Linked DNA regions of Oreochromis niloticus. The protein of the gene in region 2 purifies or fractionates together with the protein of the main gene of each other region. This does not show direct contact. Links are inferred from orthologs where the notes say so. Each region holds a gene or a part of one and is shown on either strand. Other genes may lie near its edges.

Region 1 (10,583 bases), on a different chromosome or scaffold from region 2:
TCTCTTCCAGCTATGACGAGGCCAGGGTTGACATGGATGACGGAAACCCCAAACAAGTGGATGAGACCTTCCTGGAAATGAGCTCCGGAGTGACAGCAGCTCTGTAGTACAGAGGTGAGCATCTGTCCAGCTGTTTTTAGGGTCCTTGGGTTGTAATGCAGCACTAACAGGTGACGTGTGTCCCGCAGGTTTCTTCTACTTGTACAGTGGACCGTACATGTACGAGTTCAGCCAGAGGATGCTGCTCTGCGTGCTGAGGAACAGCTACTTCCTGTCCTGCTCCAAACTCTAGACCCTTAGACGAGTTCACACAAAATCCCAAATTTAAAGGAGAAGAAGAGCCGATCATTTTTAATGATTTCACTGCTCCTATCACCAGCAGCTCAGGTGTTTCTGTAACGTCACTGCTTTATAAAGTTTTCAATATAAATTTACCTGTGGCACAGCCGTCCTTGTTTATTTGCTGTGAGTCAACCTGTGAACGTCACACACATCAAACACAAACCAGTTAAATACATCATGTCCAGGTATGTTACAGCCTGAGGTGGCACAGGTACACACTACGGTATTTAAGGGACAAGTACAACTTTACTTGACTAAAGGGGCAAAAGTACTCAGAGTACAGAACCAGCACCTGTATGTTTCAGGTGATACTCATATCAGAATAGGGTAACACAAACTTTATTTAAACTGAGGGTCTGACTGAAGATGGCCTTTATGGCCTTTAACATCTGTTGCCTGCTCTGCCTCCACACCTGGACAGGTAAACAAGAGTGTACAGCGGGGTTTGGCAGATTGAGGAATCACAGGATTGGTAGTAGTGGTGCATCATGGGAAAGAGAGTCAGTCAGAATTAAATTAATAAAATAAATAAAAGTTGGTATTAGCAGGTTGGACTATTATGTAGAGTGGGATGAGAGTGCCCTCTGCTGGACCTGTGAACAAACTACGAGCAGCTGCTGATCTTACTTTGAATGGAAACATTGAGTTTGAACCACACAGACAGCCAATGAAAGCGAAGCTGGACAGGTGTGAGTCCTACCTGTGGGTAACCCTGGGACAGGTGACAGAAACATCTGCTTTCATATGTCTAAGAGACAGGAAACTAATGCAGTGCTTTTACATAAACGCTGTGGTTGTTTGTTTGTGTCAGTGATGTCATTATAAAGAGCTCATCATTTAGAGTAACAGAAGGTGTGATCTGATCAGAGGTTTAAACCAGTACATCTGTTCAGGTACAATGTGAAGCAGCGACCGTCTCCTGTTGTGTCCTGAGCCGAGCTTCAGGTGAGTCTCACGAGCGCCTCAAAAACAGGAAGTGAGTGGAGAACGGGTGACTGTTACCAGAACTGTACTGTACTACGAGTACACCAGGGCTGTACTTGTATTGTGTAGTACTTTATAGTAGTAAAATACTGTACTATGATCAGTTCAAGTAGAAGTGAAATAAAAATGGCTGCGGTTACAGAGGAGTGTGATGTCTGAGCAGGATAAAACTCTGATGATCTTCACTGATTGCTCTGATTGCATACCTGCAGGAAGGCTAGTGTTTGCTGTTCTGGACATGCTCAGACCTGCAGTTCTTCTAGCCCTGACTGGCCAGTTGATGGTGTGCACTCTGCTGAGGTCACATTTTGGGATTGCCAGGGATCGCTTGAACCCCCACGGAGTACTTTTTTACAGTAAAAAAGTTGCCGTTACTGAGGTCACATCAGTCTGATGACCTGCTGATGTCAATACCTCAGCTCAGGGGCGATTTTAGCCCATTTTTGAATGAATCAAAGCACCCCCAAAGATTTCTTACTTCTTTTGACAATATTTGCTGTTTTTGTGACACACTACTAAAAATATAAAAAGCATACAGTACTTGGTTGAGACGTAACATTTCAACAACAAAAGTATAGATACCCCCCCCCTCCAAAATGGGGTTTGTTCCAGCTTGCCACTCCCCAACTCTGGCTCCAGCACCGTTGCTGCCAGAGCAATGGTGGCTGAGATGCAGCGGAGCGGAGGTGGAAGTGCCTGGCTTAAAACAGGACATATTAGCTGCATTTAACCTTCAGTTTCTCTGTATATAGTTAGGTAGGAGTCAGACCATGTTTCTTTTTAGCTTAAAAACATTACACCCAGGTAACCTGCAGTGTTGAAAACTTGTTTTCCGACGATGTTTGCTACCCTACAATCCGTCCTGCTCTGTAGTAAAATCAGCGACATTTGACCGTCCTGTTGTTCCCGTTGAAATGTATACAGCCTATTTAAAATCTAAAACTTAAAATTGTCCATAGGCTACTGTTGTTACTACTGTCCTGTTTGTAATGGATACTAACTAGCTAACTGACTGGATGCCCATTAACCTTATAACTCCTGTTGTGTGTGTGTGTTTGTGTACAGAGAGACAGTTCATAATCAATATAAGGAAATCTTTTCAAAAAAAGGAGCCACATTCAGGTAAAAGTGTAAAATCAAATGATCAGTCAATAAAGGATTATGTTGGATCAGTGTTTCAATATTTATATCTTTTATTAGATGTTCATGTTGTTTGGTTATTTGCCTTTTGGTTGAAAGTACACTGAGAGAGTACTTTTTGTTAGTGATCTTCAGTGATGGGAATAACGGCGTTACAAGTAACGGCGTTACTTTTTTCAGTAACGAGTAATCTAACTAATTACTATTCCTATCGTTACAACACCGTTACAGTTACTAACAAGGAAACGCGGTCCGTTACTATTTTTCAACAAACAGACGGTTGAAACTGTGTTCAGCTTACCGCATCTTATATCAGCTGCACGGAAGTAGCTGTAAGTAATCTGGACGCTAGCTTTAAGCAGCTGCGCGCTCCCGCGGACGGCAATCACGATCACTGTCTAGCACAACACCTGGAGCTAAGGAGGCAAAACAATCGAGTGCTGCTGTTTGACTGAGGAAGAATAAAGTAGTCGTGGTAAGTCAATCACGTGACCACTTAAAGACAAAGCAACAAGGTGCTATATACCAGTTTTTAAATTGTGTCCACAGGCCACGTAAAACCAGAGTCGTGATAAACAAGATATACGGCGTTTTTTCCTCAATAGTTTCGCCACGTTAGCAAGCACTCTCTGCTTATGCGCAAAAAACAAAACAAAACAGGGGAAGTTTTAGGAGTGACGTCGAGAGAGAGAGAGAGAGAGAGAGCAGAAAAAGAGAGAGAGCGAGTTTTGAGATGTGAGATTTGTGACGTTTAGCGTGTTTGGAGTGTGTAGTTAATGTGTTGTCTTGTGTAGTTAGTGTGTAGTGTTGTGGATAGTTTTGTGTTGTGTGTCAGAACAATGAGGCGACTGCTGTCTCCAGGTAGAAACAGCAGTGATACACCTGCTGCTGTCAGACCTGCAGGTATCAGGCTGTGATGTTCTCCTTTATAGTGGACAGAAATTATTTTTTTTGGAGAGGCACAAATAATTTGTGTGGCATCTTATTGAAGAACAGCTGATTGTTCTGTAAATAGTTTGAAATGGTTGTTTAAAAAATCAAGGTAAATGGATGCAAATAAATTTGTTGTTTGCAAAACTTGTGCATAGGATTTTAAAATTGACAATTAATATTTGCATTTGAAGTTATGAAATATGATTCATTAAACATGTTTGTGGTTGTTACAGTAAAAATGTAACTTTTTCTACTCTGATTTTATGGTTTTTGTCTGATTTTAGATCAATTCTGGTTATACAGTATGACAAAATGAGAACATAACTGTAAATTCAGGCACGCAAGGTTGTGCTAAAAAGAATGATACCAAACAAGGCAAAGCAAATAGTTGTTTTTAAAGGTAAAATGTGGAGAGAAAATCAAGAGTAGTAAAAAAATGGCCAATTATACCCTGGACCCCAGGGGGTTAAACGTTCTTTGTTTTTTTTAAAGTAACGCAATAGTTACTTTTCCAAGTAATTAATTACTTTTAGAATATTGTAACTCAGTTACTAACTCAGTTACTTTTTTGAAGAAGTAACTAGTAACTATAATTGAATTACTTTTTCAAAGTAACTTGCCCAACACTGGTGATCTTAATAGTATTTTTTTTTCATATTAATGTAATCTTTTCATCTAATTGAATACAATCTATTTGTGTATGATTGTCAGTCCAAAGAGGGAGAGAGGAAAGAGGGGAACATGAGGAGAAAGGTCAGGAAGAACCAGGTAAGAAAACAGACAGGGAACAGTGACAGGCAAAACAGAAACCGTTAAACTGACAAAGAGAAAAAACCTGATTTTACTCATACAATCTAGAAGTTACGTTCTCCCTATATTAAAGCTGCTATACAGAATCTTCAAAACAAACTGGGTTGAAACATTTTTGACCCTCTTTAACAACATTCCAACATACCATTATCATTGATTGGGGAGATTAAAATTAATGATATATTTTTATGTGGTTCAGCCACAACTCTACTAAAACCTCAGCCAGTAATAGGTAGGCTAACCTTTGGACCGTCCAGTTGTCTGTATGACTGCAGTACGTGCACCACATTTGTACACTATCAGAAAGTGCCAAACAGCCCTGGTGGAGTGAGGAGCTGTAACGAGAAGCAGAGTGCTCTGTTTATATTCTAAAAATGTTTTAAACTAGCTTGTTTCAAAGATTCTGTACTGCAGCTTTAAATGTTTTCCAAAAGTACACATACACTTACCTTATCAGTGTTTCTCAAACTTTTTACAGTGTCTACCATTGGGAAAATGTCGAGCTCTCCCAAGTACCACTATGAAAGTATGAAACTCATAAATCTTACAACACAAAATTAGTATTATTAAATTAGTAAAATTGGTATCTGCAGTAAAGATTTTTTCATACATTGTATACATTCTACCACAGGCAAAGTTGCCTCCATTTTTATATTTTTTTTTATTAATATTTTGTAATACTTTATTTGTAATAACTTATTCTGTTTTGGGAGTATTTTTTATGTATCTGTATTATATTATACATACTCATTAAAAGTGAATCTCTGTCCAAAAAATGCACTCAGTTTACTTTTTACTCACTATGAGCATCATTCATTATTCTCCCCCAGTAATTAAGGTTAGAATATGTATTTTTTTTATTCCAATCCATTCTTCTTTTGCAGCATTCAAATAACCTTTATCAGATTTGATGGTTTTGTTACAGACTTTTAAAAAAGTGTTTTGTTTTTCTTTCACAAATGTGGGGATTGAATTGTGTTAAAATGTACAAAACAATGATGTCATGTTTTGTGATGAGAACCCAGGCACAGAGAGACTTGATGAATTTAAGAATCTTATGATTTAATAAAGAAATTTACAGACTTGCACAGAGATGGTAAAATTATGATGACTGATAATAGAGATGAAGACAACAGACGACGAGGACAGGGAGGAACAGGGGTTTAAATGCATCAAGGAGAGTGTCATAGAGAACTTGGGAGAACTGGAGACATTTAAGGATGCAGGGGATGACAGAGACAGGGAAGAAGTCTCATTGTGATGTGTAAAGTTTATTTTGCCTCGCTGGGCAGCTCTCTTTGTGCTCAGCACCCCCAAAGCTCAGATAGCAGCGTTCATCTTACTCTCCGTGGAGATCAGGCTGGGGATGATGGAGATGATGATATACATCATCAGTGACATCATCAGTGCCATCAGACAGCAGGATGACATTTTTGTAAGATGAAGGTCTGACTGTTGGGTGCGGGTGGAACTGTGGATGATGTGATACTGATGCTGATCCAGGACCAGCTGAGCTCAGGTACACGGTGAGATGCAGAAACACTGAAGCACCCCAACACCTGCAGGAGTTACTTTATCAGGTTACTGAGGAGGACTCAGACACAGCCATCATGAACCAGACTATCGATTATTCATGTCTGACTGATCTGACATCAGTCAGAGGAGCAGCTGAGCTGGATCGGTGCTGCTGCTGCTGATGGAGTAACCATAGATAGATACAGGTAATATTCACTTTATTTACACAGCTCCAAAGCCACGGTCTCCTCTAATGATTTACTAAATAAAGCTACAGAGCGTGCTGCCTCCTCATTGGTCGCTCCAGAACGTTTGTCACGTGTCCTGAGCTGGACTCGAACCCGCGCTCTCCGGCTCTTGTAAGCAGCTGTTTTTAAATAAAGTTGGGGACATCCTCCTCCTCCTCCTCCCTCTTCTCCTCGGGGCGGAGCGGCAGCACTCCTCTGAGGAGGAGTCTGTCTCCTCCTATAAAGAGGATCCTCGCTCTGCGTCCTCCCTCTTCTTCTTCCTCCTCTGGCGGATCCTTGCGCGTGTCCTCGTGGTTACTCTTCATCACCTTTATCATGGGTTTTGGTGACCTGAAGTCAGCCTCCGGCCTCAAAGTGCTCAACGACTTCCTGTCTGACCGCAGCTACATCGAAGGGTGAGTGCCGGGAGCCGCCGTAAAGCGGTAGAAACTGCGGCATAGCCGCCGCCATGTTGGGTCCATGCTGAGCAAACGGGCTAACGGTTAGCTGCGTTGATTCAAGCGCTAAAGAAGGGAAACAGGAAACGGGACGGTAAACTGGCGCGAGAAGTGCACCGGGTTTGGAAGGAGGGTAGGGGTAGGGTAGGAAGGGTCCGTGCCGCGACCGTTTTTATTCACTTCCGTTTGACGTGACAAGCTGTTAGTCTGTTAGCCGCATCCTGCTAACGGCTGCGAGTCTGCGCACTGTCCCACGTGGATGGAATGAAGTCTTGCACCTGCTCTTGGAGTACCCCTAGCCATGGTCATGTGTTCTCTCCTCAGGTACGTACCCTCCCAGGCTGACGTGGCGGTCTTCGAAGCTATTTCGGCTCCGCCCCCTGCTGACTTGTGCCACGCCCTCCGCTGGTACAACCACATCCGTTCCTACCAGAGCGAGAAGAGCAGGTGAGCGCTGCTGACATCGTGGGGTGAACAACGGTGTGCTCCGGCAGCAACTAAACCTCGCCTCCTGTTTCAGTCTTCCAGGTGTGAAGAAGCCCCTGGGTCAGTACGGGCCCCCCGGAGTGGCTGACACAACCTCAGGCTCCGCCCCCACCACAGCCAAAGACGAGGACGATGATGACATCGACCTGTTCGGCTCAGATGAGGAGGTGAGGAGGTGGCGATGTCACCATGATGCTACAGCGTTGTCACTCTAACCTTTAACCCTGAGTTTTGGTTTAAAAGGAAGATGCTGAGGCGACCCGGCTGAAGGAGGAGCGCCTCGCTGCCTATGCCGCCAAGAAGGCTAAAAGTAGGTCCGCCCCCCTTGCAACCAATGCGTCATACAGACTCTGTGATGATTAACCAATCACCATCTTTCGGCTGACGCCTGATGGATGCCTTTTCTGCCTGACGAGTCCCGCCCTCGCACGGCTCGTGGCTCGCTCCATTTCCACAGTAACTAACCCCCTCCCCTCTCCTGCAGAGCCCGCAGTCATCGCCAAGTCTTCAATTCTATTGGACGTGAAGCCATGGGACGACGAGACGGACATGGCGAAGCTCGAGGAGTGCGTACGCAGTATCCAGATGGACGGGCTGGTGTGGGGCCAGTGTGAGTACTACTGCAAATACTGCATACACTATTACACCCACCACTGTGGGGTTAAAGTATTACACACAAGGTTGGAGTCAGTATCCGGATGGATGGGCTGGTGTGGGTACTGCAGAGTAATACTACTGGTAGCACTGCAGTAGCATTAAAGTAATCATTGTACCAGATGATGTGGTGGTAGTAGTAGTGTCTAACACGCAGTAGTAGTGACGTACTGATCAGTACTCTGTCAGTTAAGTCATTGGTAACGCCGTGATCATTGACTATAGATGAGTACTGATGGATCAATGGAGCTGATCAGTTATTGGGTGACTCGGTATACCTGTGACACCTGAAGTATTGATTATAGATCAGTACAGGCTCATTTTGATGTTCTGATCTGTTTATTGATAATGGGTTATTGATCAGAGTGGGTGTGATTCCTGCAGACACTTGATTATTGATTTGTGTGTAGAGTATTGATCAGGCTCACTGATGATCTAACTCACCATCTTTCGGCTGATCACTGATCGACTCTTACTGATCTGAGAGCTTCTGATCACTGACCAATAACCCGATAGCTGCAGCTTGGAGTTGCTGATCGCTAACTGTGATTGATCTGTCCTGCAGCCAAACTGGTTCCCGTGGGTTACGGCATCAAGAAGCTGCAGATCAACTGTGTGGTGGAGGATGACAAGGTGAGTGGCCTGTTATTGATTGCTGATTAGGTGCCTGTCAGGTTGATTAGATCACCTGTGGCACTCCTGCAGCAGTAAATGCTGTTGCCTGTGTGTGAGCTCACCTCTGTGATGTCATCTGTCTCAGGTGGGCACCGACATCCTGGAGGAGAAGATCACGGAGTTCGAGGACTTTGTACAATCGATGGACGTCGCTGCATTCAATAAAATCTGAAATAAAAGCTCTGCACCACACACTGTGTTTGACTCACCTGTACACACACTTACACCTGTTGGTTAAGGGGCCTGTAGCACTGAGTAGCTGGAGCTCAGAGCTGCTTTCAGGTAAACTCAGAGCTGATCCTAAACTTAAGTGTAAGTAAGCCTGAGATTAAACCATTAAGTCAGCTGAAACTTTATTTAGCACAGACTCAGTCGACGCGTCCTCTTCAGTGGATTCAAATTAAAGCCTGCTTCTTCACCGGAGCTAGTTCATTAATCATTGTATTAATCTGTTCAGAGTAATGTTCATCCCGAGCTGTGTAACTTGGGCTGTGATTGGGGGACAGAAACGCATCACACTTTTTGTGTGTTGTTGTTGTTTTGTTTTTTTAAACCCGGGAACGCGGACTGTAGAGGCTGCACTTCTCCGTGTGGCCTGCTGGCGGAGCCACGCCCACGCTGTGTTGCAGCGAATGGAGCCGAAGAAGAAGAGTCGGACCGGAACTTAAACAGAAGGGGGAGCAACGCGCGGCGGCGGAGGACTTTTAAATCTGTGGAAACTGAACAAAAGCAAGAAGGAGAACAAACAGCTGAAGGTAAACGGTTTCTGTCCGCCCTGACGTGAATGCACTGCGCCCACAGACAGCCACTCATCTGCTCCTTCGGCCTCACCTAGCGGGCTAACCATGCTAGCCCATAGCCAGGTGCTAATGCTAACAGCTGCTGTGAGGGTAAAGCCACGTCACTGGCAGCGTGACGAGCGGCGTCGCCATGGTTACCGCGAGTCCGGTTTAAGTCGGGGCCAGCGTGAGTTTAACCAGTCAGGTTTAAGAGGGAAGGTTAGCACCCGGCTAGTTAGCTTCAGTCAGAATCGACCAATTAGAGCTCGGTTCAGGCGACAGTAGCCAATTAGAGCGCAGGAAGAGAAGGGCTCTGATTGGTCAGTCGACGGCGCCGTGTAAACAAAGGGTTTTCGTTTACAAACAACTGACATAATTGCTTGTTTATTCAGAGTTACCATGGTAACGGGAGCTGTGAGGGCTTACAGAGAGTCACACCATCTAAATGCAACACATCTGGTAACTGTCCTCATGATTTCCTAAGGTAGAGTCTGAGTGTAGTTCTCAATGCTCTTTGCGCTAGGAACCACGTTTTTACGATCAGGGTCAGAGGTCACGCGAAGCTGGTTATAAACACTGCCTTAACCGCAGGTCACTTAAAAGCAGTGGAGCTGGCAGTGTTGAACCAATCACAGGTGTTTCATGGGTCATGTGACTCTTCCACAGAAAATAATCCCTATGCGTGACACCAGAGATGTCATCAGATGGTGATAAAGATCTACAAACAAAAGTGGTTTCAGTAACACAGCAGTGTGACAGTGAGATGCTCAGTCTAAGCTTCAGTCAGTGGTTCATATGAAATCAGTCAGTCTCACTGAAAACATCTGGAAATCAAAGAATCAGTTAAAAGGTCAGCTGACCTGAAACTCTGAAAATCACAATTAGATTGGTCAGAAGATGAATGGGTGTGATTGGGTGAATGAATTAGTTGTATAAAGCGCTTTGGGTGCTCAGAAAAAGTAGAAAAGCGCTATATAAGAACCAGTCCATTTACCATGTAGCCACTAGAGCAGGGCGATATGACCAAAAATATTTGTCACGATATACATTTGAAAATTTGCGATAACGATATAACTGACGATATAATTGACACTAGACAAAATACTTTACAACTTTACAACTCCACAACTTTATTAGTGCAAAAAAAACCCCCATCAATGTATTTTCACTTAACAAGCAGCTGTTTTTATGTGCATTAAAGTTATATAAAAATGTAACAGTGCAAATGCAAATTCCTTGCTGATAGTTTAACCAAAAGGCATTTCCAGTAGAAATTGGCCGACATATCCTCAGCATAACCATGTATAATATCCACAAAACTTAAAACGAGGTTATACACACACAATACGGTAATATTATGTTGAAGCACAGTACGTATCACTCCGCGAGGCTCCTGCCTACGATAGCCGTAATGCTCCAACAATCCATCAAGCGGTGCGGGTTTGTAGCTTAGCAAAGTCGTACTAAAACGTTTGACAGATTTTCGAGCACCGTGTACCACGTAGAATCAGTTCGAGGTCAGTAAACACAACCAGAATTCATACATAAGGCACATGGGATTATAAGGGGCACTGTCGATT
Region 2 (10,455 bases):
TTCAAGAATCGCTGCACTCTGGGTGAGACAATGACCCGTGAAACTGTCGCTATCCGGATTTAGCTCTAATAAGGAGTTCATGAACAAACCCTGCTATATTTACAGTTCACTTTCTCTCGTTTATCTGGACTTTTAGGTGTGAAATTCTTCTTGATCTGGAAGCAATTCAAAGCAAATATTTGATCTGATAGAGAGTCAGCACTTTAAGAAAGGCGCTTTACCTAACAACAAGAGTTTGTCAATCGAATAACCTTGCACAGAGACCATTGTTTGGGTATGCAGACATACTGGTAATTGACAGCTCTGAATAGGTGTGGGCTTTCCTTGTGTACTTAACAGAAATGGGAGTTAAAGGTGTAACCATAGAGAGTATGAGAGGGAGGGGTGAAGTGGAGGTACAGCCAGAGGGAGAGTCATAGAGGGTGGAACTGACAGAGGGGGGCGAGGCTGTCAGGAAAAGGGAAATGAAGGAGTAAGCAAGATTGTGCCTGCAAACACAGACTCACTCTCACAGAGTGCAGCTAACATTATCAGCGGACAGACATGGTTGCAGAGAAACTGGAGGAGGAAACAAGGAGCGAGTGAGGAAAACAACAAGCCATCAGCAGCCAACCTTGGCCACATTATCTTTCTCATCTATATACGGAAATCACTGGGTAATTTATAAGCCTCTCCCTCTCACTCTGTAAGTGTGTGTGTGTGTGTGAGAGAGGAGGGGGGATCTGCTAAGCTCACCACCATCATGCTGTGTCCTGCTGCTGTCAGTGCAGCTGCTGCGGCTGTCTGCCTGCTGGCAGTGTTGGGCCTAGGCCTGTCTCTCCCAGCTGAGGACAACTCGGAGGCAGACTTCACCCTCTGCAGCAACTGCTTCTACAGACAGACGCCTCCTCAGGGATCCTCTGCAGGGCCGCTGCTGCGCCCACGCTGCCACAGGCTGCCGGGAGGGCAGGCGTTTGCCACTCTGTCCAGACCGACCTGTGACACAGCTGTCTACTCTGCCTTCCATCTTGGCCAGGGATGGACTGAGAGGGAGGGAGAGGAGGGGAGAGAACCTGTGGTAAGAGTACATCTATCACATTTCTTAAAGTAGAAGTGCTTAGTTTTGAATGATGAAATTCTAAGTAAAGAAATGTGGTGTAAAGTAACTAAGTACATTCACTAAACTGGTTATTTTTCTAAATTCAGTTATTTGGCAGTTGTGGGAACCACTCAATTTTCTAATAGAGAAAATGAAGTAAAAAACACAGAAAATGGAGCCCTGCAATAGATTGGCGGCGTGTCCAAGGTGTGCCCTGCCACCTGCCCTGTGACAGCTGGGATACGCTCTAGCCCAACCATTGCCCCTGAACTGGATAAGTAGAAGAAAACGCAAGGCTGGATTACCTGGATTTGATGGCCACCCTTTAAGAGGGGCCTGTAATGACTATTAACTCTTTGCAGTTGAAGTTTAGACAAATTTCATCTCTAAAAAACTTTCAGGTGTTTACATCTGAATACAAACTCAGTGCTGAAATAGGTACCGTTAATTCATATTTTACACAAAAAATAAATACATTTGTAAAACAGGGTGTTACTTCTCTACTCATACAGAAAAGGTCAAATCATCATCGTTTTAGAAAACATGATTCATAGGAACATTTATGTACAGAATGCATTCTTACATATTACATACATCTTACATATTGTTATTTAATAGCCAAATAAACTAAATGAATGTTTTTATATCTAAATTTGAGCTGACACACTGGAATTAATCAAACATAACATTCGACCACTAAAATACATTTTTCTCTTCAGAACTTGGCATCAAAAATAATAACACATTTCTATCTTTTTTCTGCTTTTTGCAAAACAGTAAATTAGAGAATTTGTGAATAACTACAATAATTTTAGCATTGGATTAACCATTAGGAAACATAAGACATTATTTTTTTCGTAAATACAATGCTGTTACTTTAGGGCAACTGTGGTATAAACCTTATAGTGGTTAGGGATCTAATAACTTTGTTAAGCGCTCTACTTGGATTACTTTATCACAGACAATGGAAATAATCTGGAATAATAATAAATAAGAAGAAGTATAAGAATTACAGGTGTCTGGGGATAACTAAAGATTTGTAATGCAGAGCCTTTGAATAATAGTATATTCAATATAAAATAAAACACCTATGAAACTTTTGTTTTTCAAACATTCAGCTCTCAGGCCAAACAAAAAGTTTTTTAATTAGGAAAAGGGTCTAATTATTTTTTCCACATTAAAAAATCATTTGAAAATGGAGCTTAAAGAAAATGTAAACAATATAAATTTAAAAGCTGGATTGGATCTTTATCACACTGATAATTATAAACACTCAACAGCTGGGCACGCAGAAACAGGAAATAGAGATGTTTCTGTTGTTGTTGTGTCCTTATATGGGAACATTTAAAAATCAGAGTGCATTGATTGAAGAGTTTGATGGACTCGTTGTTAAACTGCTGGTTTTGGTTCTTTTTCTGCCAGACGGAGCAGGAAGAAGACATTAAAGTGGCAGCACCAGCTCTTCTCAGAGGAGGTGCGGATCCATCTCATTCTGTCTCACCCACAGACTCCCCTTTTCACCACTGGGATTCAACAGTCACAACACTGGTCCAGTCAAGCGTGTCTCCCCAGTGCAGCACTGTAGGGGGTGATCTCTACATCCTGACTGGACTGGGAGGACTCGGGGCTGCTGAAGATGGAGACGAGGAGTGTCAGACGAAGCTGCTGTGGTCTGCGGCGTGCTGTGCTGTCCCGCAGGGGAAGGGTGGCTTCAGCGTTGGGTTAATCAGAGAGACGGAGGAAGGGGTGAGGCAAGTGAGCGTGAAGGAGCTGGAAGACATGCTAGGATTGGCAGAAATGTTCTCTGAAGGCTGCGGAGGAGGAGATGGGAAAAGTGTTGAAGTCAGAGTTGGTCTCCACAGTGAGGGACTTCCTGGAAATACAGAAGCAGTCGCTGCTGTTGAGGAGACAACTGACACAGAAAGCCGAGAGGCGTCGATAACTAAAGAACAGGCAGCTAATTCTCAGTCAGGGAAAGCTGACGGCGCTGACGCCACGCAGGAGACTTCAGCAGATGCAGCAACTTCTGAGAGCGGCGGTAATGAACAGGGTGATGTGACACGCTCAGGAGCTGTCAGGTCAGACTCAGACTCCTCAGCTGAACATGAAACTGCTGAAGAGACGGACACAAACTCCACCAGCACTCTGGTCTCCATCCTCTCCATCACCTTCTCCATCTTCAAATTTCCTTTGCGTCCTGTATTCTCTACAATCACACAACTACCTGAACAGGTGATGCAAAAGCATTAACTGTTTAAAGATAGTTTTACTTTATCAGAATTAGATTACTTTATTAATCCCATGGGTTATTATAAGGTCACAGGTATTCCAAGACAGAAAAAACAGTAACAAACAAGTTAAAGTACAAATACTAAAATAACAAAATATATTACAAAATATTAGAAATAGCTCTAATATGTAAACATCCCAAAATATACTACACAAAATGTAAATATAAACATAATTTAAACTGAGTTGCCCCTCTCACCATACTAACAGTTATTTTCTATGTAAAGGATGTGCAGATATTAAGAGGTTCAGACTCAAAGATGTTTTCTGGGAGTATATCATACACTTCCATAGAGTCGAGTCTATATCAAGGGCAAGTTGCAATACTGGGTCTACTTTCCCATAAAGCATTACCGAGACTTCATGGATTACCTCGCCACACCCTAGTTTGTAAAAACATCATTGTTAACATCTCCATGATTTGTCAGACCTCTCAGATCCACATTCCAGACATGTGTGTAACACATGTGTGACAGTTGTTTTCACAGATTGACTAATGCTCCCCGAGACTCTCTCATTTCACAAGTTACAAGCAATCCTTGAGAATTAAAAGATATTATGACTCTATATATTAATTAAACAGTATAATAACCTATGGTTCTGCTTAATGTTTTCAATAGGAAAACAAAACCATTACAAATCATTAGAAATAGACAATTTTGTTTCTACATTTGAGCCTCGGGTTAATAAAACTGTCTCAAGAGTTTGTGTTATGTATTAACCTGTTATGTATTAACATATTCAGGTTCAGAGTTAAATAATAAATCATCTCATTCCAGTCTGCTCCTCCCATAGACTGGAATGAGGTGTGGTGTACAGGTGGAGTTAATTCTGGGTGTAGTGCATTGCCTCAAGGCTTTCTGTCTTTTTGTTGTTTATACTTCCTGCAGTCACACTGTGAAATCGACTCACTTTTCTTATCTGCGTTCAGGTCACCTATGTTCTCCAGGAAGACCTCGGAGTTCTCTCTACCCTGCCTGGAGAGACCTTCACCCTGCTCCATCTACTGACCTCTGACCTCCTCTCCTGGATGGGCACAGCAGGAGAAATGCTGCTAGGTATTGGGGAGACCTGCTTCTGTAGTGTTTATTACTGCACCTCCTCTATGATGGGGGAACTGCTGAGCAGCTGCCACATTGGGGTCACTGGTCTGGGCACCCTGGCTGGAGACACAGTGGGGGTATTTGGTGATGCTTTGGATAATGCTTGGTCGGTGACCAAGTTCTTTGGAGGGCGGCTGTGGGAGCAGAGTGAGGGTTATATGGGAACAGTGATGTCAGAGATGGGAGGTCAAGCACAAGCTGTAGGAGGAGGTTTTGGGAGACTGGTATGGAGAAGTGGGAAGGGAGTGATCAATGTGTTCAGGCTGGGTGGAGGGGTTATATTTGGAATGGTTGATGTTGTCTTTGGGGGTGTAAGAGAGGCCTTTGGGCAGGAGGCGAATGAAGAATGAAAGAAAAAAAAGACTCAAGATAACACCTTTAATAAACTTTTTTTTTCCTGAAGTTTCAGTTTTGGTTTGTAAATTTCTTCCAGATATGAAAGTGTGAAAAACTAATTAAAGATGTCATTTGATATGCCTTAGTTGTTACAGATGGTTTGCTGGATTTATTTTTGAAGTAAAATAGTGATGGAGTAAATTTCACTGCATTTCTTACACTGTAGGTCTTACAATTCACTGTGGAAAACTGGCTGCCCAAATAGTCTGCTGTACTTGAGAGCTTAACCAACTGTGATTTGAATAACACTGTGCACACTCTGCTATTGGATGTAATTACTCATGACAACATGTGTGATAACTGTCACATCTGTCAATCTGAATAAAAGAGTATGCTGGGTTACCAACATGACATGCACCATTTCCTTGAATTTCCTTAATTTAATATTCTTGTTTCCTTCTTCCAGTAGTACAGTTTGACATATATATGTATATTTACCCAGTTACCTAGTCATATTATGCTTCTACTGCAAACTGTATTTTTAGACAGTAAAAAATGACAGAATTTTACAGAATAAACCATGATGATGTTGGTATTACGTTTTTACCAGATCGGTAAACTGCTGCTTTATTATACTATTATACTATATTTATTAAACTGCGTTATTTGTACTAAATGATGATGAAACAATACTAATATATAACCATAACCTGCAAGATGACTCTCTACCACAGATACATTTTTATTATCGAGGGCACATGAGATATAAAACATTTGTTATGCCTATTTGCATGCAAATATATTGTTTTGGTGTAATATATATATCAACAGACATTGTAGTGGTGATAAGGAGCATAACAGTCCAAATAGCAACATCTGGAGGAAGGAGCGCGAAACAATAGAGTACCAGGGGCTTAAGGTGGAAGGTAAAGTGGCCGAAAGTGTAAGAGTCATTATGTGTGTCAATGTATTTATATTTAAAGATATGTCTGTGTAATTAAATTCAGTCAACTGATTGTAATTTCTATTTTTTAAATAACTACTTGTTTATTATCATTTTCTTACAATTAGCTGATTTGATGTAATAGCTATGTATTACTACTAATAATAATCACTATCATCACCATCATACTTTGACTTTTTATTTTTGAGGCAAACTGCTTTTAAATAGCTTTTATTAGCAGTTTTAACAGCTTTAATAAGACTTTTTTTAAAAAATACAAGTCCTTTAATTTTTAATTTAATAGCTTTACAGAGTGGCGTTGCTAATCTAATGTAATCTAATCTAATCGCCGATCGCTGATTAAAATACCTTCAGTGGTAGTTGTTGCTGACCTGTTGTTGTAGATAACATGACTTCCGTTTTGTGCCGGAAGCGGCGGCTGAAACCCGGAACTCGTCGATGCCGTTTCATTGCATCAGACGGGCATTCATGTGGCTGTGTGTGTGCGCTAACTGAGCTGACGTCTCTGTCTGTTTCATTCAAAGGTACGCATGACTCGCTTTGGAACATTTTAATAGCAAGCCGCAGGTTTCTTAGACGCTTACGTTCTGGTGAATTTAAAGTTGTGGCAGCTTGAATAAAGGTTTATTAAAGTTCACGGCGGAGCTGCTGAAGAAAAACTTCTTTCAGTTTGACTCGTTAGCTTAAGCTAACTAGCCTGCTTGCATGAGTTTTCATCAGTCTGACAGGTGGCACGGCTCAGAGCTGCAGAAAGTGAAATAAAGAGCTAACGGGCTAACATATCTATCCTTTTTTTAAGCTCCTTTGATACCCACTGTGACATGCTTAAAGCTGATTTTATTAAATATGTTTAAACAGTTTGCTTTGACAAACCTTCTGGACATCCCCTTGGGTGGCATGAAGTTTGGCATAACAGTGTTTCTGCCAGCAAACACACCCATCCAGTCTGATAAGGAAATGCTCAATTACAGCAACAAAATGAGTGTTTCTCTCTTACTTCATGCAACCTTAATGTGTCTTCACCAGAGATGACCACTCTCTACGTGTCCCCTCACCCTGATGACTTCAGGAGCCTTCTGGCTCTCTTAGCTGCAGAATATGGACTGTCCTCCCGGCCGCGGATCATCACAGAGGACCCTCCTGCATCTCTGAACGCCCGCTCCAGACCAGCCCTGGTGCTGGGCACCGCTGGGGATGGTGACTCTCTAGTGAGCGGGGCCACTGCTGTGTCGTGGTACTTAGCCTTTCAGGGAAAGAGGGCTGGTCTAGATGCTAAGCAGCAGAGCCAGGTTTGGCAGTGGCTCAGTTTTGCAGACAATGAGCTCACCCCAGTGTCGTGTGCTGTGGTCTTCCCTCTGATGGGGGTGACAGGAGTGGATAAGAAGGTATTTAAAAGCTTCCTTGGACCTGAACGTGTGTCTGATTTGTTCATGTAAAAATGTATTCTCCTACTCTTTGTGCATTCTCAGCTCCAGCAGAGTTCCCGTGCGGAGCTGATGCGTGTTCTTAAGGTTCTCGATCAGGCTTTGGCACCAAGAACCTACCTGGTGGGAGAGAGCATTACCCTGGCTGATATGGCTGTAGCTACAGCTGTTTTGCTCCCCTTCAAATATGTATGTGTGCTGCGCTAAACTTTCTGTCTAACAGGTTTTTCTGCATAGCTTCTGAACAGAAAAGCTTTAATATGCTTTTATAAACACTCAGGCATTGGAGCCATCAGACAGGAAGGCTGTAACGAATGTTACCAGATGGTTCACGACCTGCATTAATCAGCCACAGTTCCTGAAGGTACTGGGGGCGATCGTTCTTTGTGAAAAGATGGTCCCAGTCACACCAAAAACAAATGCTGCTACAAATGCTGTTAATGGCAGTCCTGCTGCTGACTCTCCCGGCGCTCCAGCAAACGGTTAGGAACTTCAACGAATCACTTGATAAGTATTAGCAGAATGCAATGTACCGTATCTCATGCCATTGTGATGTTTTCTCTCTCAGGCCCACCGAAGACGGAGGCCCAGCTGAAGAAAGAAGCAAAGAAGAGAGAAAAGCTTGAAAAATTCCAACAGAAGAAAGAAATGGAAGCAAAGAAAAAGACACAGCCGCCATCTGAGGTATAAATACCCAACATGTACAAAGAGAAATTCATTTGTGAAGTTTTGAAAATCGCAAATATCCACGGTAAATCATCTGTTCTTGTGTAGTGCTTTTCTACCCTACTTGAAAGTGAAAGTGATTTATATAACATATTACATTCATACAAGCACTTTCTTGTTTTTTTATTTTTAGTCCTGCTGTGTTCTGTCAAAATTATGATCTCAATGCACTGTGATCAGCTGTATAAATTCTCCATAGACTGCTCTTGTTCAGAGCTTATCTGTTTATTTCTTCATTTCTGTTCATGTCATTTCAGTTATTACATTATATGTGGTATACAGTATGACAATGTCTAAGGCAGGATATGGGGGAAAAGGGGGAGGAGGGTGATAGGGGAAGACATAATAAAAGGATAGAGTACAAATAGAAATGCACTATTTATCGCTAACTGCCTCACCTGTAAGAAAAACAAACGTACGGAACACAAAAATTTGAAAATGAAAATGAAAATTCGAAAGGGTGACCCTGAACTAGCCATCTGATTTGTAGTTGATAGTAACACAGTCACTGAAGACGTTACTATTTCAAAGTCTCTCATCTCTTTTTTTCTTCTGCTTTTTTTCTCAGAAAAAGGCCAAACCTGAGAAGAAGGAATTGGGAGTGATTACATATAACATCGCCACCACTGCTGGAGAAAAAAAAGGTGAGTGTTCACTATGCTTGAGTTGATTTGTGTACTGTAAGCACATTGCACGTAACGTTGTGTTCCAGGGAAGCTTCCCTGCAGCTTGCACTGTGAAGTTACCTTATCTCAGTGACCACAACCTGTAAAGCGGATGCCACACCTAAGTTTCAAGCTGTTTAATTTAAACGGAAAATAAAACAGAGGAAATGGCCTGGCAAAAAAAAGAAGCAAAAAAGTGGAACACGTTAGGGTCAGTGGGTTGTAGGACCAAGAGCTTCTCTCCCTAAACTAATGAGGTAAAAAAGTAAACCAACAAATAAAACTGTAAAAAGACAGGCTACCAGTACTTCCATCTTACAAGAAAAAGAAATAAGGAAGCGGAGATCTGAAGATGCTGGAGAGCTGCTTAGGCTGGTAGAACAAGGTCCTTTAGTTAGAGGCAGAGCAGTCATCAATGACTGGACCTGGCTCAGCTGATAAAGAGGGAACTGACGAGCAAAGTAGGAGAGAGTAGGGCAGGAAAGGGGAGACAACACTGACAGGTCTGTTGGCAGCAGAACAACAAAGACCTGTAATATCTGAAAAATATGCAAAGTTCAAACAGTGTGGGCTAAAAGCATTACAAGTGTGACGTGTCTGATACCAAAAGCATGTTAAATTATTTAAGCTGTGGCCTAATATTTTAAAAAACCCCCACTGTAAATCAAGTTAAGCTGTACAGTTTCTAGAGGTGTGTGTGTGTGTGTGTGTGCGTGTGTGCACGCGCTGTATTGGAAAAGCACTATGTCAATAAAGGCTTTTTAAAGCCAGGAAGTAAAGCTGGATAAAATAGACCTTCCTGCTGTCTGGGCACGAGGTCCACGTTAATGGTACCACTATTTTCCGGAGAATTGATTGATCAGTGGGTGGTAGTTTTGTACCAATTGACCCCCTCTCTTGAACCTAACTTCCTTTATAACAAGATGGATCTGCAGCAGAAGTTACCATGGTGATGTGCCATCCCATCACAAGTTAACCACTGTCATTACCCAGAAAATCCAGGTTTAACCCTAAAGTTGCCTCAGTAAGCACCAAATCCTGCTTTGTAGCTCAGGCCTGTGGTCACTCCATTCAGACTCTGCTGTTCATTCACAAACAAAACAAAAGTTGTTCTGTCTGTGTTGTGTGTGTAAGGTTGCGTGTGACAAATAAAGGCTTTCTTGAGTTAGTTTTTAGATAAATGTGGACATTTCACCAAGTAGGTGCTGTGTAAAATAAAAGACACATAGGATAGACAACCACAGTATTCTTTAGATTTAGGGGAACAGATTCTACCTCAGGCTTCAGGATTGATGTTCGTATGTATGCTAGAAAGCTTAACATCCAAGTGTCATCACACTTCTCATTGTATATTATGTGTGTATTATTGTACTTTGATGACCTTTACATTTAGTCCTTCTGGGTTTTGCAGCTTTTTTTATTCATTAGAGGTTTATTATTCCACTGAGTGATGACATATTTGAAAAAGTGCACCTTCTTTTCAGACTGTGATATTAGTAGTTTTGTCAGCATTTCACTTGAGTGAGCTTCAGATGCTTTACTCAACCCTTTCCTCACCTTTGCTGCCAGATGTTGTTAGTCCACTTCCTGACTCCTACAGTCCTCAGTATGTGGAGGCTGCCTGGTATCCGTGGTGGGAGAAGCAGGGCTTCTTCAAGCCTGAGTATGGGGTAAGTCCTCAGATATTATAAAAATGGTGCTGAATTAGATTTTTAATTGATAATTTTAGCTTCAAATAACCTGCCTGTCACTATATTCTGTAGAGGAAGAGTATCAGTGAGGAAAATGCTAAGGGCATCTTCATGATGTGCATCCCTCCACCTAATGTGACAGGATCACTTCACCTGGGTCACGCCCTCACCAACGCCAT

What was found.
Region 1: the proteins of vars1 (region 2) and eef1b2 fractionate together in Homo sapiens (co-fractionation; 3 studies listed by BioGRID, with this or other methods). This does not show direct contact. The link is inferred for Oreochromis niloticus from reciprocal best matches to the Homo sapiens genes VARS1 and EEF1B2.

What each region holds. Positions count from the first base shown.
Region 1 is NC_031980.2:39,039,940-39,050,522, reverse strand, and holds eef1b2 (elongation factor 1-beta), read left to right. Parts: upstream 1-6,114; 5' UTR 6,115-6,287; coding exon 6,288-6,367; intron 6,368-6,733; coding exon 6,734-6,856; intron 6,857-6,929; coding exon 6,930-7,062; intron 7,063-7,138; coding exon 7,139-7,205; intron 7,206-7,379; coding exon 7,380-7,505; intron 7,506-8,114; coding exon 8,115-8,182; intron 8,183-8,309; coding exon 8,310-8,396; 3' UTR 8,397-8,416; downstream 8,417-10,583. UniProt on the Homo sapiens protein: Catalytic subunit of the guanine nucleotide exchange factor (GEF) (eEF1B subcomplex) of the eukaryotic elongation factor 1 complex (eEF1).
Region 2 is NC_031976.2:23,842,387-23,852,841, forward strand, and holds the start of vars1 (valine--tRNA ligase), read left to right. Parts: upstream 1-6,182; 5' UTR 6,183-6,294; intron 6,295-6,796; 5' UTR 6,797-6,798; coding exon 6,799-7,155; intron 7,156-7,239; coding exon 7,240-7,383; intron 7,384-7,474; coding exon 7,475-7,676; intron 7,677-7,762; coding exon 7,763-7,878; intron 7,879-8,488; coding exon 8,489-8,564; intron 8,565-10,154; coding exon 10,155-10,255; intron 10,256-10,348; coding exon 10,349-10,455. Other genes in the region: uncharacterized protein si:ch73-54f23.2, read left to right, coding at 743-1,057, 2,501-3,310, 4,299-4,820. UniProt on the Homo sapiens protein: Catalyzes the attachment of valine to tRNA(Val).